Linked DNA regions of Saccharomyces cerevisiae S288C. Changing the gene in region 1 together with any one later gene gives a genetic interaction. Each region holds a gene or a part of one and is shown in the gene's direction. Other genes may lie near its edges. The genes, in order: YNL035C, CRC1, YOR387C and YCR051W.

Region 1 (6,463 bases):
GACGTAGTAAATACAGTTGTTACATCGACCGAGTGACAAAGTACGGTTAGGGAGGTAACCAACGCAAGGAAAAGGACGGTTGTCCTTGATTCTCTGGAGTAAAGCATGATCTCGCGCACGCTCTTGCTATTGACAGCCTCGTTGTATCAACTTGTGTTTAGGAAAGGAGGCAGAATAAAGATTAAAAATGGAAGAAAAGACTCAATGGTTCCAGCGAAACAAAGATGCTTGAAAAAAAAAATAATTCAGAAACGAGTCTCTTGTCAGGAAAGCAGTGTCAGGAAAACAGTGTCTGTTCTATAGTTTGTGTTGTGTCCCTCAAGCACTTTTGTTGTTAAAAAACCTTGCTAAAGTTTTGTACAGGTTTATACCGTTGTGCAAAAACTGCTGCTAGGATAACTGAACAGTTGTTTCTGTGGCAGATGTCGTGAATAGGCGCCTTTATTTTAAGGGTCCAGTGATTCGCGATGTGAATAAATACGCGCGCCGCTCTCGAAGGAACCTTTTGAGGCTGCTTCTGTCGATAAGAAGGCTTGGCAAAGGCCTTTGCTTTACTGCTTCTTTCCCGCCTTTTTGGTGCATTGGGTTAATTGATGAATATGCGTAAAATTTAAATCAGACTATGAAAACATATATAACAACTATTACAAGAGGGAAGTGGTAGTCTACTTGAAGAGGCGCGCCAGAAGAAAACGGTGGTAAGTACGAAGTTATGTGTAGACTAACTTGCTCGTTAAAAGTATTTCGTCAGCCGTGCCAAACAGTTCGAACTATCGGAACTTCTGACGGTTCACTGATGTACAAAAGTTGAGAGCCATTTTCGTAACCGGCTTTTTGTCCCATGCTCAGAAGGATGCATTGGTACGGTCACTTCGATATTCCTTCTCTGTGAGTGGAGCCAGAGCTTTTTGTTAGTTTCTAGTTCTGTTGCTGTGCGAGACTCACGAACAAGTAGTAGCCGGCATGGTTTAGATGGTTCTGGCACGGTAAGCTGAGGAGCGCTATTATGGTTGCGGGTAGTACAGTCATTAGAAGGTGGAATAGATTCCTTGCATATGTCTATCAGTGCCTGAAACGCCCTCTCAATGAGGGAGGTGCCAGGACTCAAAATTAAGGATTGTTCGGCGGGATGCGGTAAGCCTTCGTATACTAGGTTGTTGGACGGAAAAATCTGATACGGCTTGATCTGAATGTTAGGATCGACCTTACTGTCTAAAGTATCGAGAGTGATGTTTCCTTTTCGGTTTAAAGACTTCTTCTCGCCGACATCGAGAGAAAAATGAATGTGATCAAGAACCAGATCTATTTCTCTTTGTGTGTTTTTCCAGGGACAAAAAATGGAGTAGGGCTCAATCCTCTGGAAACCTTCGTATTTGTATTGGTATGAATAAAAACGGCACTCTGCTTCCTCCATAAGTTGGTCGTAGCTGGGCATTGTATCGAAGTTGAAGGGTCTCTTCCAGAATGGAATACTTTTATTTGAGGGATTGTAGTACCTTCTGGGCTCAGATTGTTCGTCTAAAAGCAGGTATTGAACAGCTATCATCTTGCGCTCAAATTTAAATTCGAGGGAATCGTAGTCAATGTTCTTTGTACTTCTCAGAAAGAGTGGACAGTATTTTCCCATTTTGCTTTCAAACCAGTTCTGTGGCCTGTCAAGGTACTGTTGCATGTATGAAGGAACTACAGTAGTCAACGTGTGGTTAGACTGGGAAAATTCCGCTGCGGACCCGACGCTGCAGCTTATATTTTGATTGCGGGGAGCAGGAGCGCAGGCATCTTGTTTAGATTTTTGGCTTGGATAATGTTTGTGGTGATCAGTGGAATTTATTGGGCAGTAAATTTCAGTTGGAATGATAGATTCATTCGTCTCTTTTGTTCTGGAGTCCTTGGTGCGGCGGAAATCAAAGCAAGTCACTTCTGCGTTAAGCGATGCGAAATTGCCGTCTGGAAATGACGATATGTGGGGAGAATGAGGAGGATTCCATGACGAATAAACTGATGAGGATGTGCTAACAGATGAGGTTAGTGAGGGTACCGATTCGTTGTTTTCTGACGCAGAGTCTGTTGTGGGAGATGTGGTAGCGTTATTTCTTTGCACAAGAGAAGGTGGGAGCATAGCACGGTTGTGGGAGGAGGAAGAAAGCATTACGTTGCAACTATCATTTACGGAGTGGGATAAGAGGTAGGAGGTTGTCATAGCGGTGCTTTCTTCCTGGTGCATGGCAGAAGACGTTGGCAGTAATTCGTTTATTATGGTGACATTGTCGTGATTAGAAAGGACTGTCTCTTTTACCATTGCCTCGGGTATGTTTTTTGACGCTTGCCCTGAACTTACTCCAGAGCAAGCCTCAGTAGAAGAATGACCGGAATGATTCCTCTTATACACGTTCCAGAGCGGAGCATTCTTGACATCATAAAAAAAGTTGCTGACAGGATCTTTGGACTGGTTGACGTTAAGTGGTTCCGTAGCTGGTCTGATGTTTTCTTGTACGGTATCACTGACGGCTGAGAAACCTTCAGAGGAACCGCTTTCGGGAACAGACTTGGAGGATTGCAAATTAAGCCATTGAAAGTCTAGCCCAACCTTGTTGCAAAAGGCCTTGAACTCCTGGAAAGATGTAGACATTATGTGGGCGAAAAACAAAATTAGACCAACGCTTTAGCAAATTTTTTCAACCTCAAATTGATATTTGAAGATTAGATCGGATGGTTTTTTTTCCTGTGGTGTAGGCCAAGCTTAAACAAGGTTTTAAGTGAAAGTGGAAATAATTGTGATAAACATGCGGAAAGAGTGCCAGCCTTAAATAATTCCGCATTGTTGCTATGTCGTTTTGTTTTTGTTTTTGTTTTCGTCTTATTGGTATTTGTTCATTTTACGACCACAAAGGATCCAGGGCTTCTACTTGCACAGGGAGGGTTGCTTGGTTAATACAATACAAACGTCAGAGATATTAAGATTTGTAAAGGGTGCATTCAATGAGTTTTTCCTCAATGTGCCCTAGAAAGGAAGTAGTACGAACATTTCTCAGTCGGAGTTTGCCGGAAATTCGAATGACAGTGTAAGTTGAGTTTTGTGGCACAGGGATAATGAGCGGTGGTGCTGGCACACAGTAGTGACGTTGGTTTGGTAGTGTGGAGGGACGGTGGAAAACAGATAACAGTGGTCTCTTGGCCCAGTTGGTTAAGGCACCGTGCTAATAACGCGGGGATCAGCGGTTCGATCCCGCTAGAGACCATTCTTTTTTTTTGCATTGGCAATGTGATTTATAAAAGTTTTCTTAGTCCAGATTGTAAAAATGTTAGATGGGACTACAGTGCACGTACGCAGTCATTAGGACATAGGCACTGGCTCGTCTTACTGTGTAAATAAAAACTACTTAAGTTCGAGAATCTCAAATTAACTTCTAGAGCATGGCTAGTTATTCTTTAGTTGAATCGAATTCTTTCGGGTCAGAAAATTGGTGTCTTAAGTTACAGCCTAGTTATAAACATGGTCTTTTAACTGGATTAAGTAATGGCGAAATACGTTTGCTAGACTGGAGTACTGGTAAATCAGTACAAAAGATTAAGGCGAGCGAAACTGCAATCAATGATATGAAGGTCATCGGTAGCGACTTCTCTGCTGGTCATCTAGTTAGTAGCGCCTCTATCGACGCGGTGAAAGTTTTCGATATAAGGACGAATGACCGCATTGCTCAAATTCAAAACGAGGCCAACTCCCCCTTTATTTCCTTAGATTCTCGTCATGGTCTATTGGCCTGTGGTACCGAATTGCAGGGAATTGACGCTGCTGTATACATATATGATATTCGCAAATGGGACACTCCATTGAGATCATTAATTGACTCTCACCATGATGACGTTACCTGTATTAAATTTCATCCTTCTGACGTCAATATTTTGCTCAGTGGTTCAACTGATGGTTACACGAACATTTATGACTTGAAACAAGATGAGGAGGAGGACGCTTTACACCAAGTTATTAATTATGCGTCAATACATTCCTGTGGATGGTTGTCCCCAAAGAGGATATTTACACTATCACATATGGAAACATTTGCAATTCACGAATTGAACGACAAATCTGACGAATTGAAAGAGCCACAACCCTTGGACTTTGGTGATGTAAGAGAAATATGGAACTGTGACTACGTGGTAGATATTTACCCTGGACTCATTGCAACCGGTAAAACCCAAGAAAATTGTGGAGAGTTGTGCCTCCTACCATTTAAAGATGAGAAGGTGGATACTGAAAACGGTATTGTTATCCCACACGCCCATGGAGACGAGGTCGTCAGAGATATTTTTATACCAGCACAACATAGCAACATGTTATACTCCTGTGGTGAAGATGGTTGCGTTAAAATTTGGGAAAACAAACAGGGGCCGTTAGATATTCCAGAAAATTTTTGGGATTACTCTAAAAAAATGAACGTCTTAGGAGATGACGACAGAGAAGGTTCCATTAATTTAGACGAACCTCTTATTATTCAAAAAGAATCGGTTTCCACGAGGCCAAGGAAGGAGAAACACAAGAAAGCCAAGAAACATTCCATGAAAAGTCGTTTCAAACCATACTAGTTTCATAAAGACAATACATCTAAAGAGATGCCTAACATCTGCAAGAGATTTCGGCAGAACTACTCTATAACTTAAAAAACGAAGCATACATTCCAAACAAGTTGATACTTCTAGATCATAGTTTATCTTCATAGGGCTTCTTTTGTTGGTACAATGTTATAACAACTATATTTCTGCTATATAGAGTATTAATGCATTTTTTTTTTTTATCTCCAGCATTAAACGTGCACGCTTCTATAAGGTGGAAAAAAAATACTAGAAAAGGAATAAGTGAAACACCACGTTGATGGTGAAAAAATATAAAGGGGCGAGCTGGGAATTGAACCCAGGGCCTCTCGCATGCTTTGTCTTCCTGTTTAGGCAGGAAGTCGCCCAAAGCGAGAATCATACCACTAGACCACACGCCCGATTATTTTATGGTGATTTCTGTCTCACAGGAAATTGTTATCAAAGGATAAATAGCATATTTGTCTTAAAGAAGGTTTTATAAATAGACATGCAGAATGTACTTATCAGTGGTATTGGAATGTGTTGGAATAAAAATCAACTATCATCTACTAACTAGTATTTACGTTACTAGTATATTATCATATACGGTGTTAGAAGATGACGCAAATGATGAGAAATAGTCATCTAAATTAGTGGAAGCTGAAACGCAAGGATTGATAATGTAATAGGATCAATGAATATTAACATATAAAATGATGATAATAATATTTATAGAATTGTATAGAATTGCAGATTCCCTTTTATGGATTCCTAAATCCTCGAGGAGAACTTCTAGTATATCTACATACCTAATATTATTGCCTTATAAAAAATGGAATCCCAACAATTACATCAAAATCCACATTTTTCTTCATGGTAGCGCCTATGCTTCGGTTACTTCTAAGGAAGTCCCATCAAATCAAGATCCGTTAGCCGTTTCAGCTTCCAATTTACCGGAATTTGATAGAGATTCCACTAAGGTTAATTCTCAACAAGAGACAACACCTGGGACATCAGCTGTTCCAGAGAACCATCATCATGTCTCTCCTCAACCTGCTTCAGTACCACCTCCACAGAATGGACAGTACCAACAGCACGGCATGATGACCCCAAACAAAGCTATGGCCTCTAACTGGGCACATTACCAACAACCATCTATGATGACGTGTTCACATTATCAAACGTCACCTGCGTATTATCAACCGGACCCACACTATCCGTTGCCACGGTATATCCCACCACTGAGTACTTCCTCACCTGATCCAATCGATTTAAAAAATCAACACTCTGAAATACCTCAAGCTAAGACAAAGGTGGGAAATAACGTCTTACCACCACACACTTTAACATCAGAAGAAAACTTTTCTACATGGGTTAAATTTTACATCAGATTTTTGAAGAACTCTAATCTCGGTGACATCATTCCAAATGACCAGGGTGAAATCAAAAGACAAATGACTTATGAAGAACATGCGTATATATACAATACCTTCCAAGCATTTGCCCCATTTCATTTATTGCCAACATGGGTAAAACAAATTTTAGAAATTAATTATGCTGACATCCTTACAGTCCTTTGTAAAAGTGTGTCCAAAATGCAAACTAACAATCAAGAATTAAAGGATTGGATAGCTCTTGCCAACCTTGAGTACGACGGAAGTACATCTGCTGATACATTTGAAATTACAGTCAGTACGATCATTCAGAGGCTAAAAGAAAACAATATCAATGTTAGCGACAGATTGGCCTGTCAACTAATACTTAAAGGTCTATCCGGTGACTTCAAATACCTACGTAATCAATATCGTACCAAAACGAACATGAAACTTTCCCAATTATTCGCTGAAATTCAGTTAATATATGACGAAAATAAAATCATGAATCTAAATAA
Region 2 (3,507 bases), on another chromosome or scaffold:
AAAAGATGCTGGTGAAACCAATTGAACAAGTAAGAATAGACTTGCAATCAAAACCATGTCATATCAAGAGAGCAGGATCATTTTCAACAAATTATACAACAACCACCACTAGATTCTTTTCTAGCGTTGGCGCTTGAATTTTTTTGTGGCTCAGCAGACTGTTTACTTCTCGAATTTAAGGCATTATTTTGATTACCACGACTAATATCACTTCGATTTCCGTTGCCGTTACTGGAGTACTTGGTATTTCCTTCATTGTTATTGTTTTGATTAACGTAATTCTTTTCATCAGTTCGTTTAGTAGTTTCACCGTTATGGTTAACGGCTGACTTTGAACTGGAGCCAGTGCCAGCATTGGTCAAAGAATTATCGAGTACATAAGACCCGTTGTTCTTTTTTTCTCTATCCGCTGTTGCAGATGAGGTTAGCTCCGAATCTCTTATTTCATTCGTATTATCCAGTTGACGATTCATGCTATTGTATTTCCCACCGTCGTCCCTTACCAAACGAATAAGGCTATAAAAGGCCTCGTCTACGTTGATGGCTTGTTTCGCAGACGTTTCTAGAAAGGGTGCATTCAACTGCTTGGCCAGGCGTAACCCGTCTTCATAAGAGACTTGTCTTTCATTTTCAAGGTCCAATTTGTTACCTACCACGACTACAGGAATGTAGTCAGAATCTTTTACTCTTTGAATTTGCTGATAATAAGACAGTAACTCATCAAAGGAATTTCTAGAGGTGACGGAATAGACCAGTAGGAAACCTTCCCCAGTCCTCATGTACTGTTCTCTCATCGCAGAATACTCTTCTTGTCCAGCAGTATCTAGAATGTCCAAAATGGATACTTTGTCATCGATGACAACTTGTTTTCTGTAAGAATCTTCGATAGTAGGGTCATATTCGTCCACAAAGTATGATTGAATGAATTGAATTGTTAAAGCAGATTTACCAACGCCACCTCCACCGACAACTACTATCTTATACTCTCTTATAGTTGATTTATTTCCCTGCATGTCGTTCTAAAAAGGGAAAATTTTGTTTACCTGTTCAATCGTGAAATAGCCAAACCGAAGTCAATTGTGGCAGCAGTTAATTAAGCATTGCAAGAAAGAACAAGACAGATGATAATAGAGACACCGTACAAGAAAGAATCCAAATTAAGAGAACCATACAAAGACATAAAATATAAACCTTTCAATGTAAAACAAAAGGAGGAAAAAACCTGAAAAGCCGTGAAAAATTCATAATCTTGCGATGAGTTGAAAAAGTTTGTTGTCAAATGTCCATAGACTTACATGTAGTAAATATTTTTGGTTTCTTTTTTTTTCTTCGTGCTTTTTTTTTTTCCTACGGGTTTACATTGTGCCAATGTGAATTTCCCCGCCACTCCCTACCGAACGGGTAGCAGCGTAGAACATAGCGATCAAGGGTGTGCTAAGTGAAGAAGCAATTCAGTGCGGGTAATACATATTCCTAGCCTCGTTTGCCGTTACATTGCATTGATGGTACAATAAAGGGCATGCTTTATATCGAGATGTTTCAGTGTATATGAGGGGAAACAGAAAAGAGTCATTCCTGCCATTTTTTGGTCACTGCTTTTTCTGCTATGAGTAATGGTGAAGTTCCTTGTGGCTACACGCTTAATGTCATCGGGTTACTGCTCCTAATATCCGCATATAAGCTTTATGCAGGGATCAGTTGGGCGGCTATTTATCTACACCCAGTCATCCGGCGTGACTGGATCTCCACTTGCCGCAATAAGTCGGTGGACAAATGGAGATTTAAGAGTAAAGATGCATGATGGTATAATTCCTTTAGTCGAAATAGATATATTTCAAGCGCATATATAGGCAGACGCTTGTACTGTAGAAATAGCCGATATTCAATTGCGCTCTATGTGTGTTTTTATTCCAGGTTTTCCTTGGATTCTACGTATTGTACGACTTTCTTATCCTCCACAAACGTCATCGTGTCAGTAATGTCTTCAGACACTTCATTATCAGAATCTTCATTATTGAAAGAAGAGAGTGGGAGCTTGACCAAGTCTCGTCCACCTATAAAATCAAACCCTGTACGCGAAAATATCAAATCATTTGTGGCCGGTGGAGTTGGCGGGGTATGTGCGGTGTTTACGGGTCATCCCTTCGATTTGATTAAAGTGAGATGTCAAAATGGACAAGCGAATTCCACGGTACATGCCATTACAAATATTATAAAAGAAGCAAAAACTCAAGTAAAGGGCACATTATTTACCAATTCCGTAAAGGGGTTCTATAAAGGTGTTATCCCGCCCTTATTAGGTGTTACTCCCATATTCGCTGTTTCTTTCTGGGGTTACGATGTGGGTAAGAAACTGGTTACTTTTAATAACAAGCAAGGAGGCAGTAACGAGTTAACTATGGGACAAATGGCTGCAGCAGGATTTATCAGCGCTATTCCTACCACTTTAGTGACTGCGCCAACGGAAAGAGTAAAGGTTGTCCTGCAAACATCTTCTAAGGGCTCTTTCATTCAGGCGGCTAAAACCATTGTTAAAGAAGGTGGCATAGCTTCTTTATTTAAAGGTTCATTAGCCACTTTAGCAAGAGATGGGCCTGGCTCAGCTCTATATTTTGCATCTTATGAAATTTCAAAAAATTACTTGAATAGTAGGCAACCTCGTCAAGATGCGGGCAAAGATGAACCGGTCAATATCTTGAACGTGTGTCTTGCTGGTGGTATTGCTGGTATGTCGATGTGGCTAGCTGTTTTCCCCATAGACACTATAAAGACAAAATTGCAGGCTTCCTCCACGAGGCAGAATATGCTTTCCGCCACAAAGGAAATTTATCTACAAAGAGGTGGTATCAAGGGATTTTTCCCTGGTTTAGGTCCTGCTTTACTAAGATCTTTCCCAGCCAATGCGGCCACATTTTTAGGTGTGGAGATGACTCATTCACTGTTCAAGAAGTATGGCATATGATTAAATTTTTGTTAGGTGGACCTGCCTCCCATTTTTTTCTGGCATTCCTTTTGGGAACTTTTTGTTATTTTTTGGTTCTGCAATTTCGTTCAGTGTATGGTAGAAAATATCAGTTGGGTTATCCCGGTTTCCTTGGCGTTGTTGTCGAAGCGTTCATATTTGTAACGCAATGGAGTAAATATAAATGTGATATGTAAAAAAAAGAGTTATAATTTATTCTGTTTCTTTAAATAGTATAAATAAAAAAAGTGGAAAATACAAAGACAACGTGGGCTGATTACAGTATAATCAACCGATATGGTTTTGCCAACCAGCAGGCTTTGGCAACTTGTTTATATTGTAGAATTTAGTAGTACATGAATAACTGTGCCATGTGAAATCTTTGCTTGGATCACAGTCACATTTGTTAGCCAGTCTGATACTTGTGTCTATTGGACAGGAGTGAAATGGAACATGGTAATAACCAATATCACCGAAGTGATGGATTTCAGAGCGGTCCAAGAACAGCGCAGCACCAATAGAATGAACTGGAGCATCACCCCATC
Region 3 (5,649 bases), on another chromosome or scaffold:
TTAACCCCAACTTTTCTATTTTGCACTTGTTTGGCTATGGTTTAAAACATTCTGTTTGGACCAACAGCCCAAGCGGCTTATCCCTTTTCTTTTTTTCCCTTATAATCGGGAATTTCCTTACTAGGAAGGCACCGATACTAGAACTCCGAATGAAAAAGACATGCCAGTAATAAAACTATTTTGATGTTATGCGGAATATACTATTCTTGGATTATTCACTGTTAACTAAAAGTTGGAGAAATCACTCTGCACTGTCAATCATTGAAAAAAAGAACATATAAAAGGGCACAAAATTGAGTCTTTTTTAATGAGTTCTTGCTGAGGAAAGTTTAGTTAATATATCATTTACGTAAAATATGCATATTCTTGTATTGTGCTTTTTTTATTCATTTTAAGCAGGAACAATTTACAAGTATTGCAACGCTAATCAAATCAAAATAACAGCTGAAAATTAATATGTCGAAGGGAAAGGTTTTGCTGGTTCTTTACGAAGGTGGTAAGCATGCTGAAGAGCAGGAAAAGTTATTGGGGTGTATTGAAAATGAACTTGGTATCAGAAATTTCATTGAAGAACAGGGATACGAGTTGGTTACTACCATTGACAAGGACCCTGAGCCAACCTCAACGGTAGACAGGGAGTTGAAAGACGCTGAAATTGTCATTACTACGCCCTTTTTCCCCGCCTACATCTCGAGAAACAGGATTGCAGAAGCTCCTAACCTGAAGCTCTGTGTAACCGCTGGCGTCGGTTCAGACCATGTCGATTTAGAAGCTGCAAATGAACGGAAAATCACGGTCACCGAAGTTACTGGTTCTAACGTCGTTTCTGTCGCAGAGCACGTTATGGCCACAATTTTGGTTTTGATAAGAAACTATAATGGTGGTCATCAACAAGCAATTAATGGTGAGTGGGATATTGCCGGCGTGGCTAAAAATGAGTATGATCTGGAAGACAAAATAATTTCAACGGTAGGTGCCGGTAGAATTGGATATAGGGTTCTGGAAAGATTGGTCGCATTTAATCCGAAGAAGTTACTGTACTACGACTACCAGGAACTACCTGCGGAAGCAATCAATAGATTGAACGAGGCCAGCAAGCTTTTCAATGGCAGAGGTGATATTGTTCAGAGAGTAGAGAAATTGGAGGATATGGTTGCTCAGTCAGATGTTGTTACCATCAACTGTCCATTGCACAAGGACTCAAGGGGTTTATTCAATAAAAAGCTTATTTCCCACATGAAAGATGGTGCATACTTGGTGAATACCGCTAGAGGTGCTATTTGTGTCGCAGAAGATGTTGCCGAGGCAGTCAAGTCTGGTAAATTGGCTGGCTATGGTGGTGATGTCTGGGATAAGCAACCAGCACCAAAAGACCATCCCTGGAGGACTATGGACAATAAGGACCACGTGGGAAACGCAATGACTGTTCATATCAGTGGCACATCTCTGGATGCTCAAAAGAGGTACGCTCAGGGAGTAAAGAACATCCTAAATAGTTACTTTTCCAAAAAGTTTGATTACCGTCCACAGGATATTATTGTGCAGAATGGTTCTTATGCCACCAGAGCTTATGGACAGAAGAAATAAGAGTGATTATGAGTATTTGTGAGCAGAAGTTTTCCGGTCTCCTTTTGTTCTTGTTTTGGCGTATTCTCCACTATTCGTCCATAGCACATTTATACCTTAGCTAAATATTTTGTAAAGCAAAATTTTCGTTATCTCTTAAAAAATAGAAGAGCGGTTTATTAATATCAAATAATTGAAACTGCTGATATGGTAGCTATATACAAAATCTGCTGTCAAAATTTGGCAGTAAACGATCTTCACGGTAGCGGTTCAAATAAAGAGGAAAAGTCTTTCTCCCTTACTGTTTTTCTGGAATTTGGCTCGTCGTTAATAACAGAACTAAAGATACAGTAAAAGGAGAGATCGCAATCAACTTCATTAATTGTAACAGTAGCATAATCACAACTGATCATCTACACTATAAACAGTTTTTATTTCTAATTATGGGCGCCTGGCCGGCTCAAACATTGTGCTTTTAAGACTCCAAAAGTATCTGCTGCAGAAAAGAGCCATATAATGTTAAGTGTTCAGGGATAGGTTATCGCTTACTACTTCAAACGTTTCGAAGGAAAGCCAGGGAAGCCTATATCTGATTCCCTGTTTCATAATCCAATGCAGCCACTAGCTTATAATTATTTGAACTATTTGTCGAACATCACAGTAATAAAATCCCCAGAAAGTTCCACTTGCTGCATATTGGCACCTGTTGATTCACTCTCCATCACTTTTTTGTTAGCCGCCCAGCCTAGAAAGTCTTTAAATACATCTGAAATTTTTTTTTTTTTAACAGTGCACCCGTGCATCATACCTCATGCAAGGTACCTTTTTTTCTCAAAGGTATTGTCTTCCATTGAAGTGGCACTATGGCATGATGAACCCTGAGCATTTCTGAATTCAACAGAACCAAATTGTCCAGAAATAAATCTGTCCGACATGAATTATGAAACTTTTTTTCAATTAAGTGAAGAGAATTTTGCAGCGTCTTACCATTATTTTGACCCATTGGTCGCATGTTTGCGCTTTGACTTCGAGAACCATGTTAAAGCTTACTTGTACGACAACCAATGAAGTATATTACGGCAGTTTTTTTGGACTGGGTCAAAAAAAGTGTTGCATAATCAAATCAGGAACACATTAAAATGTTGTAAAATTTGTCTTAGTATCACCTGAGTGGTTATTCATTACGTACTACTGTCAAAATATTCGGATCTTTCCTAAACGGGCTTTTGAATTAGTGTTGCTTCTATTCCTGGAATGGAAGGTAATACTTTCATGCATTCTCGCTTTTCGGACTTTTAACAATAAATTAAAAACAATGATACTTTCATCAACTACCTATACACCCTGCGGGTCAATTATTTTTTTTTCGAATAACCGCTGAGGTTGGAAATATAGAAACATATTCCAGATCTGTATTTTCAGTTGCTAGAAAAAGGTTAATATAATCATTAAGGTTTTCAGCATATAACAGGTATAATTGATATATAAGCATCGTAATTTTCATTCAAAATGGAGAGCTACTGCTTCTGATAGATTGTACAATCTCAAGAAATCAAGAACAACAACCATACCATGAGTTTCCTAAACATTTTTACTTTTTTCAGCGTCCTTGTGTCTGTTGCAACAGCCGTCAGATTTGATTTGACTAACGTCACTTGTAATAACCTACATGGACCTCACTGTGGTACCTACGTTATGGAAGTCGTTGGCCAAAATGGTACATTTTTGGGTCAATCTACGTTTGCTGGTGCCGACGTTTTAACTGAAAGCGCTGGTGACGCTTGGGCAAGATATTTGGGCCAGGAAACAAGATTCCTCCCAAAGTTGACTACTATTGCTAGCAATGATACGAAGAACTTTTCTCCACTAATCTTCACCACCAATATCTACACTTGTAACCCTCAATCCATTGGTGATGCTATGGTTCCTTTTGCTAACACTGTTACTGGTGAAATTGAATACAACTCTTGGGCAGACACCGCTGATAATGCTTCCTTCATAACCGGTTTAGCTAACCAATTGTTTAACTCTACTCAGTATGGCGTTCAAGTTGCTTCCTGTTACCCAAACTTTGCTTCTGTTATTTTGAGCACCCCAACTGTGAACATTTTCGCTGCGAATGAGACATTACCAGATTATTGTACCGCCATCCAGTTGAAGGCCGTTTGTCCACCAGACGCTGGTTTTGCTTGATTTTTTCCAGCTGCATAATCTGTAGACATATTTTAAGTATATTTTTTAGGCAGTTTTATAAATTAACAGACTATAATTATTTTAGAGAAAAAGACCCAGATTTATACTTCTGACTTTTCTTTTTTATGTTGATCTTATTGTCACTGTCATTGGATCATAATAATGATTCTTTTTTGAACTTCTCTTGAAAGTATCCTCTTATTCTCTTTTGATGATAGGTCCAAATGCACGTGTACTTAGAGATTAGAGCGCAGATGGTTTTCTTGTCAACATCATATCAATTGTTTGCCGAACCAAAATACAACGTTGACTTGATCGTTCCTAGGTCCATCAGCTACTGCACATTCTTACGAGTTATTCATCCGTGAAATATAGCTACATTTTCGAGCATATCTTGAAGTGGTCCATTCTCAACATCACCCTTTCAATTACGCGTGTTTTAAAATACCCAACGTCGTCAGAATCCGACTGATCATCATGGTAAGACTATTGCTCCAAGCAATCTAACCAAGGCATTCTCTTTTCCCTTTTAATTAGTTCACAGTCACTGGCAAACAATCTTCTCTAATCAAAAAAAGAAATTTATTCTATATTGTCTTCTCCGTATTTTGCCCTCTTCACTCCTTTTGCCGTGCCTCGCATAATCTAGTTATTGTGTTTAATATTGTTTTTCTTCTTGAAAACTTGTGTAATAATTTACAATAAAATTTAGTGTTATAGTGAATATACTAGAGACATCGACAAACTTTTTTGTCAGTTTTCAGCTAGACAGTTGTATTGATTGTATTGACTAGGTCTGGATTAAGATGGGCACATCCTTCAGTAGCTACTCAGGAGCCACAGTTTTCATAGTAGTAATGAGATATAACCGCCGCCAGCTATCGGTGTTTTCTAGGTCCACTACTGTTATAAAAACTATAAACCCTATCATTTCCGTAAATTCTTGAAAGCGTTAGTTTATGATGAACTTCCTAAAGAACCTGGCAAGGCGACCAATACCATATAATTTGCCGAAATACTAACAGTGATCAAGCAAAGCGGCAAAACTACTAAAGCACACCTGCTTAATCAGGAGACGTTATTCTCACATTGCGTCTTTATAAACTTTCAAAGCACGCTCCCTACTATGCTTTAAATCAACTAAAGGTTTTGGATAGTTTTCTGGACGCTTATTTTCGGAAGAAATCAATTCGGGAACCCATTGTTTGACGAATATCATTTGTGGGTCATATTTTTTTGCTTGTATATCCATATTAAAAACTCTAAAATATGGTTGGGCATCAATTCCTGTACTAGAACAAAAACCCCAGCCACCAACATTTGAAGACGAATCACCGTCTATCAAGTGTTTCATAAACCAGCGTTCCCCCCATCTCCAATCTATTAATAAGTTTTTAGAAAGAAAAGAAGCTGTGATCATTCTAGATCTGTTATTAATATAGCCTGTGTACAGTAATTTTCTCATTATGGCATCGACTATGGGAATGCCTGTATTACCAGTACACCACTTTTCAAATGCTACAGGGTTATTCTCCCATTTTATATCTAAAGTGTCCAATCGATAAGGCATTCCCATTGAGGTATATGGCCAGTTGCACATACAATGTCTGTAAAAATCTCTCCATGCAACTTCTTTGATGAAATTTTGGGTGGACGAATTATCTTTCAGTGCTTTTGACATTATTTGTCCGTTGCATGATTGAAATGCCTGGTTGACTATAAGTCTTGTGCTTATCCTACCAGTAGTTATATATACACTTAGCCCAGAGGTTCCACCCAAATATAGCATGTCTTTTTCATTGTTGTACTTAGAACTTTTTGTACCGAGGAAATCTTTTAATCTGGATAAAGCTGCTTCTTCAGAAACGTCTGGCAAGCACCATTTTGATT
Region 4 (5,701 bases), on another chromosome or scaffold:
TTTTAGACTCTGGGTCGTCCACCACAAGCCCGCCACTGAACCCTGCCACCTTGGCAGACTGCAGTATGTCGTCCACCTGGTCGTCGTTTTTCGGGTAGAACTGGGCCACAAATTTCCCTCCCTTCTTCAGTGCAGCATACAATGTGTTGAAAAACCTCATCAACCGCTGTTTAGGATCGTTGTATGAAGTGTCCGCATTGCACAGCCATTGGATCGCACTGATACTAATAGCCGCGTCAAACGAGCCCGCCCGGAACGGTATCCCGGTGCCCATATCCTGCAACATCAAGTCGCCCTCCAGCTCTCTACTAAGACCGGTCGCAAGCATGCTGGGCGATATATCCAAACCACACCACACATGGTCTCCCTCCTGCGTCAAAATCTCCCCAGACAGTCCGGACCCGCACCCGATATCCAGAATGAAACTGCACGGCTGCAGATTCAAAAGCTCCAACGCCCTCAGCGTCATCTTCGCCTGGATATGCTGCACTCTGGTCGAACCCGTGTACTTGTGTGCTTCGCTATCATTATAGAAAATCTCCGGTGGTGCCAACTCCTCAGGACGTGACATTATTTCTTCTCTGATATATTTCCTGTGTTTCCGTACCGCACCTTTTTAGCACTACTTTTTTACTATGCTCTTCTTCTTCTGCTTCTTCTGCTTTTTTCCTCTTTATCACACTATGTATGTGCTGCTCATCTCTTCTTTTTATCGATAAAATTGAAAAATGTGAGATGGTGTAGAGTGAAAAAAAAAAAAAAATCTGGCTTGGCCATCAAATACCCGGCCGTGGTTGGACTCGTTTAGCGAACAATAGCACCCAGCAGACCCTGGCAACATGCGGATGATATAAGAAGGACGAGCGTGGTGGAGGAAAGGGGCGCCATTGGCACACTCACGCAGGTGGTTGTTCAGCACGGCTTGCAGCAAGAGCGCCAAAACAGATTGCAAGAATGACGGAGACTAAGGATTTGTTGCAAGACGAAGAGTTTCTTAAGATCCGCAGACTCAATTCCGCAGAAGCCAACAAACGGCATTCGGTCACGTACGATAACGTGATCCTGCCACAGGAGTCCATGGAGGTTTCGCCACGGTCGTCTACCACGTCGCTGGTGGAGCCAGTGGAGTCGACTGAAGGAGTGGAGTCGACTGAGGCGGAACGTGTGGCAGGGAAGCAGGAGCAGGAGGAGGAGTACCCTGTGGACGCCCACATGCAAAAGTACCTTTCACACCTGAAGAGCAAGTCTCGGTCGAGGTTCCACCGAAAGGATGCTAGCAAGTATGTGTCGTTTTTTGGGGACGTGAGTTTTGATCCTCGCCCCACGCTCCTGGACAGCGCCATCAACGTGCCCTTCCAGACGACTTTCAAAGGTCCGGTGCTGGAGAAACAGCTCAAAAATTTACAGTTGACAAAGACCAAGACCAAGGCCACGGTGAAGACTACGGTGAAGACTACGGAGAAAACGGACAAGGCAGATGCCCCCCCAGGAGAAAAACTGGAGTCGAACTTTTCAGGGATCTACGTGTTCGCATGGATGTTCTTGGGCTGGATAGCCATCAGGTGCTGCACAGATTACTATGCGTCGTACGGCAGTGCATGGAATAAGCTGGAAATCGTGCAGTACATGACAACGGACTTGTTCACGATCGCAATGTTGGACTTGGCAATGTTCCTGTGCACTTTCTTCGTGGTTTTCGTGCACTGGCTGGTGAAAAAGCGGATCATCAACTGGAAGTGGACTGGGTTCGTTGCAGTGAGCATCTTCGAGTTGGCTTTCATCCCCGTGACGTTCCCCATTTACGTCTACTACTTTGATTTCAACTGGGTCACGAGAATCTTCCTGTTCCTGCACTCCGTGGTGTTTGTTATGAAGAGCCACTCGTTTGCCTTTTACAACGGGTATCTTTGGGACATAAAGCAGGAACTCGAGTACTCTTCCAAACAGTTGCAAAAATACAAGGAATCTTTGTCCCCAGAGACCCGCGAGATTCTGCAAAAAAGTTGCGACTTTTGCCTTTTCGAATTGAACTACCAGACCAAGGATAACGACTTCCCCAACAACATCAGTTGCAGCAATTTCTTCATGTTCTGTTTGTTCCCCGTCCTCGTGTACCAGATCAACTACCCAAGAACGTCGCGCATCAGATGGAGGTATGTGTTGGAGAAGGTGTGCGCCATCATTGGCACCATCTTCCTCATGATGGTCACGGCACAGTTCTTCATGCACCCGGTGGCCATGCGCTGTATCCAGTTCCACAACACGCCCACCTTCGGCGGCTGGATCCCCGCCACGCAAGAGTGGTTCCACCTGCTCTTCGACATGATTCCGGGCTTCACTGTTCTGTACATGCTCACGTTTTACATGATATGGGACGCTTTATTGAATTGCGTGGCGGAGTTGACCAGGTTTGCGGACAGATATTTCTACGGCGACTGGTGGAATTGCGTTTCGTTTGAAGAGTTTAGCAGAATCTGGAACGTCCCCGTTCACAAATTTTTACTAAGACACGTGTACCACAGCTCCATGGGCGCATTGCATTTGAGCAAGAGCCAAGCTACATTATTTACTTTTTTCTTGAGTGCCGTGTTCCACGAAATGGCCATGTTCGCCATTTTCAGAAGGGTTAGAGGATATCTGTTCATGTTCCAACTGTCGCAGTTTGTGTGGACTGCTTTGAGCAACACCAAGTTTCTACGGGCAAGACCGCAGTTGTCCAACGTTGTCTTTTCGTTTGGTGTCTGTTCAGGGCCCAGTATCATTATGACGTTGTACCTGACCTTATGAACTGCCACCATACCACGTGTGTCCCTCGCAAGCCCTTGATAGATATACAATAGGGAATGGGCGTCCGCTCCACCGTGGTCAAAGACAGGGGCAAAGAGCTCCTAGGTCTATATATATATCTATATACATATTTATATATATTATTAGAACTTTACAATATAGTATATACCATTCATTGTTTAAGTTTCGGGTAATACTTTTTTTTTCCTTGTCATAACCCCAAAAATTTTCGATGCCTTTGATATAATTGAGAACAAGAAGAGTTTGCAGGTGACAAAAATCGATGATTATAGGTGTTGTGACGACAAAATGAACGCTAATATATGGGTGGCTGCTTCAGATGGTAATTTGGACCGAGTGGAACATATCCTCCGCGAGAGTAAAGGCGCCATGACCCCGCAATCCAAGGACATTAACGGCTACACTCCAATGCATGCTGCCGCCGCATACGGCCACCTGGATTTGCTGAAGAAAATGTGCAATGAGTACAATGGAGACATTAATGTGTTGGACAACGACGGCGATACCCCGTTGCACCATGTGGAGGATGTGGCCACTGCCAGGTTGATCGTGGAAGAGCTGGGTGGAGACTTCACTATCAGGAATGTGGAGGGCCAAACGCCATACGACTCGTTCGTCGAGAACGGTGAAGATGGTGAGCTAATCGAGTACATGAGGATTAAGTCCGGCGTGGCCGATGTTCACGGAGTGGACGGCGTGCAGGGTGAGGGTGTCATCGACAGCAAATTGCTGGAAGAGTTCAAGGACAACGTGAGATACACCTTGGAAAATGACCCTGAGGAAGGAGCCGATGAGGCCACTCTGCAACGCAGGAGGCAGTTGGAACAGATCATTACGGGAGACAACGCTGAGGAGGAGTTGGAAAGGTACATCCGTGCTATGGTCAGAGAGCAGATGCTGGGCCAGGGCTCCATGGCGGGTTCCGGGGACGAACCAGATTCCAAGAGAAGAAAATAACGACCCAGCACAAAGGCTCTTACAGCTTGCTAAAAGAAATTGAACGCGACGCTACATGAACTACTTCTTTCTCTTACATAGTCTTTTCCCTTATGTATCTTTTCTGTACATTAATAGACGTTCTTACAAGGTAAAATTTCACCGCGTTTTTAAATAGAATGAAAAAAACGTTGTAGAGTGAAAGAAAAGCAACAAATATACAGTTCACAAGGCAGCTTCGTATAGTAATACAGCACGAAAAACAGCTCATAGAAATGGTAACACAGACCAATCCGGTCCCTGTTACATATCCAACGGATGCTTATATCCCCACGTATCTGCCCGATGATAAGGTCTCCAATCTGGCAGATTTGAAAAAATTGATAGAAATGGATTCCAGACTAGATTTGTATCTGACAAGAAGGAGGCTGGATACGTCCATCAATTTACCTACAAACACCAAGACCAAGGACCATCCCCCCAATAAAGAGATGCTGAGGATTTACGTCTACAACACTACGGAAAGCAGCCCTCGCAGCGATTCTGGCACCCCAGCGGACTCAGGCAAGACTACATGGACACTGAGAATAGAAGGTAAGCTTCTGCACGAGTCCGCAAACGGAAAGCACCCATTTAGTGAGTTTTTGGAAGGTGTCGCGGTCGACTTTAAAAGACTGAAACCGCTGGGCATGGGCAAGAAGAGGAAACGCGATTCGTCATTGAGCCTTCCTTTGAATCTGCAACAACCCGAATACAATGATCAAGATAGCACCATGGGCGATAACGACAACGGCGAGGATGAGGACAGTGCAGAGGCAGAATCCAGGGAGGAAATTGTAGACGCACTGGAATGGAACTACGATGAAAACAACGTTGTGGAGTTTGATGGTATCGACATCAAGAGGCAAGGCAAGGATAATTTGCGATGCAGTATAACCATCCAGTTGAGGGGTGTCGACGGTGGAAAAGTACAGTACTCGCCCAACTTAGCTACCTTGATAGGTATGCAAACGGGCTCCGTTAATGACGCGGTTTATTCGATCTACAAGTACATTTTGATCAACAATCTGTTTGTTACGGAACAAACAGAGGCTCAAGATGGTTCCAACGATGCCGAAGACAGCAGTAACGAGAATAACAATAAAAACGGTGCTGGTGACGATGATGGCGTCGAGGGAAGTACTCCAAAGGATAAGCCCGAATTGGGTGAAGTGAAGCTAGATTCACTCTTACAAAAGGTATTGGATACAAACGCCGCGCACCTCCCCTTGATGAATGTTGTGCAAACCGTGAACAAACTGGTATCACCCCTACCGCCCATCATCCTAGATTATACAATTGATCTTTCCAAAGATACCACCTATGGTGCTACCACCTTGGATGTAGATGTGTCGCACATTCTCCACCAGCCTCAACCCCAGCCAAATTTACAAAAAGAGGAAGAAACAGATGCTGAAGACACAGCAAAACTACGTGAAATCACAAAGCTTGCCTTGCAGTTGAACTCTAGTGCTCAAAAATACCAGTTTTTCCACGAACTGTCTTTGCATCCAAGAGAAACGCTGACTCACTACTTATGGTCTTCCAAGCAAAACGAGCTTGTGCTGCAGGGCGACCAATACTTCAATGAAGATGCTGCAAGAACGAGTGACATATACAGTAACAACAACAATGACAGGTCACTAATGGGCAATATCTCACTACTGTACTCCCAAGGAAGACTATAACATCACTGTATGATCTCATTCTTTCTGCAATTATTGCACGCCTCCTCGTGAGTAGTGACCGTGCGAACAAAAGAGTCATTACAACGAGGAAATAGAAGAAAATGAAAAATTTTCGACAAAATGTATAGTCATTTCTATCAATAACGTATACACGTTTTTTTAATACTATCTATATTGTGTATCTTATATTTTTCCATTTGGTAGTATAGCAGCAAATATTTGTTCTTAGA

What was found.
Region 2: mutations in YNL035C (region 1) and CRC1 together harm fitness more than expected from each alone (negative genetic interaction), as found in Saccharomyces cerevisiae (one large-scale study listed by BioGRID).
Region 3: mutations in YNL035C (region 1) and YOR387C together harm fitness more than expected from each alone (negative genetic interaction), as found in Saccharomyces cerevisiae (one large-scale study listed by BioGRID).
Region 4: mutations in YNL035C (region 1) and YCR051W impair growth when combined (synthetic growth defect), as found in Saccharomyces cerevisiae (one study listed by BioGRID).

The regions. Positions count from the first base shown.
Region 1 is NC_001146.8:566,643-573,105, reverse strand, and holds YNL035C (uncharacterized protein), read left to right. Parts: upstream 1-3,414; coding exon 3,415-4,584; downstream 4,585-6,463. Other genes in the region: YNL033W (uncharacterized protein), read right to left, coding at 1-107; YNL034W (uncharacterized protein), read right to left, coding at 791-2,629.
Region 2 is NC_001147.6:512,750-516,256, reverse strand, and holds CRC1 (carnitine:acyl carnitine antiporter), read left to right. Parts: upstream 1-1,978; coding exon 1,979-2,962; downstream 2,963-3,507. Other genes in the region: Ras family GTPase RAS1, read right to left, coding at 84-1,013; alpha-1,2-mannosyltransferase KTR1, read right to left, coding at 3,251-3,507. UniProt on the Saccharomyces cerevisiae protein: Transports carnitine, acetylcarnitine, propionylcarnitine and to a much lower extent medium- and long-chain acylcarnitines.
Region 3 is NC_001147.6:1,067,731-1,073,379, reverse strand, and holds YOR387C (uncharacterized protein), read left to right. Parts: upstream 1-3,138; coding exon 3,139-3,759; downstream 3,760-5,649. Other genes in the region: FDH1 (formate dehydrogenase (NAD+)), read left to right, coding at 457-1,587; deoxyribodipyrimidine photo-lyase PHR1, read right to left, coding at 4,844-5,649.
Region 4 is NC_001135.5:210,975-216,675, forward strand, and holds YCR051W (uncharacterized protein), read left to right. Parts: upstream 1-3,096; coding exon 3,097-3,765; downstream 3,766-5,701. Other genes in the region: BUD23 (18S rRNA (guanine1575-N7)-methyltransferase), read right to left, coding at 1-571; ARE1 (sterol acyltransferase), read left to right, coding at 955-2,787; YCR050C (uncharacterized protein), read right to left, coding at 2,490-2,798; RSC6 (Rsc6p), read left to right, coding at 4,020-5,471.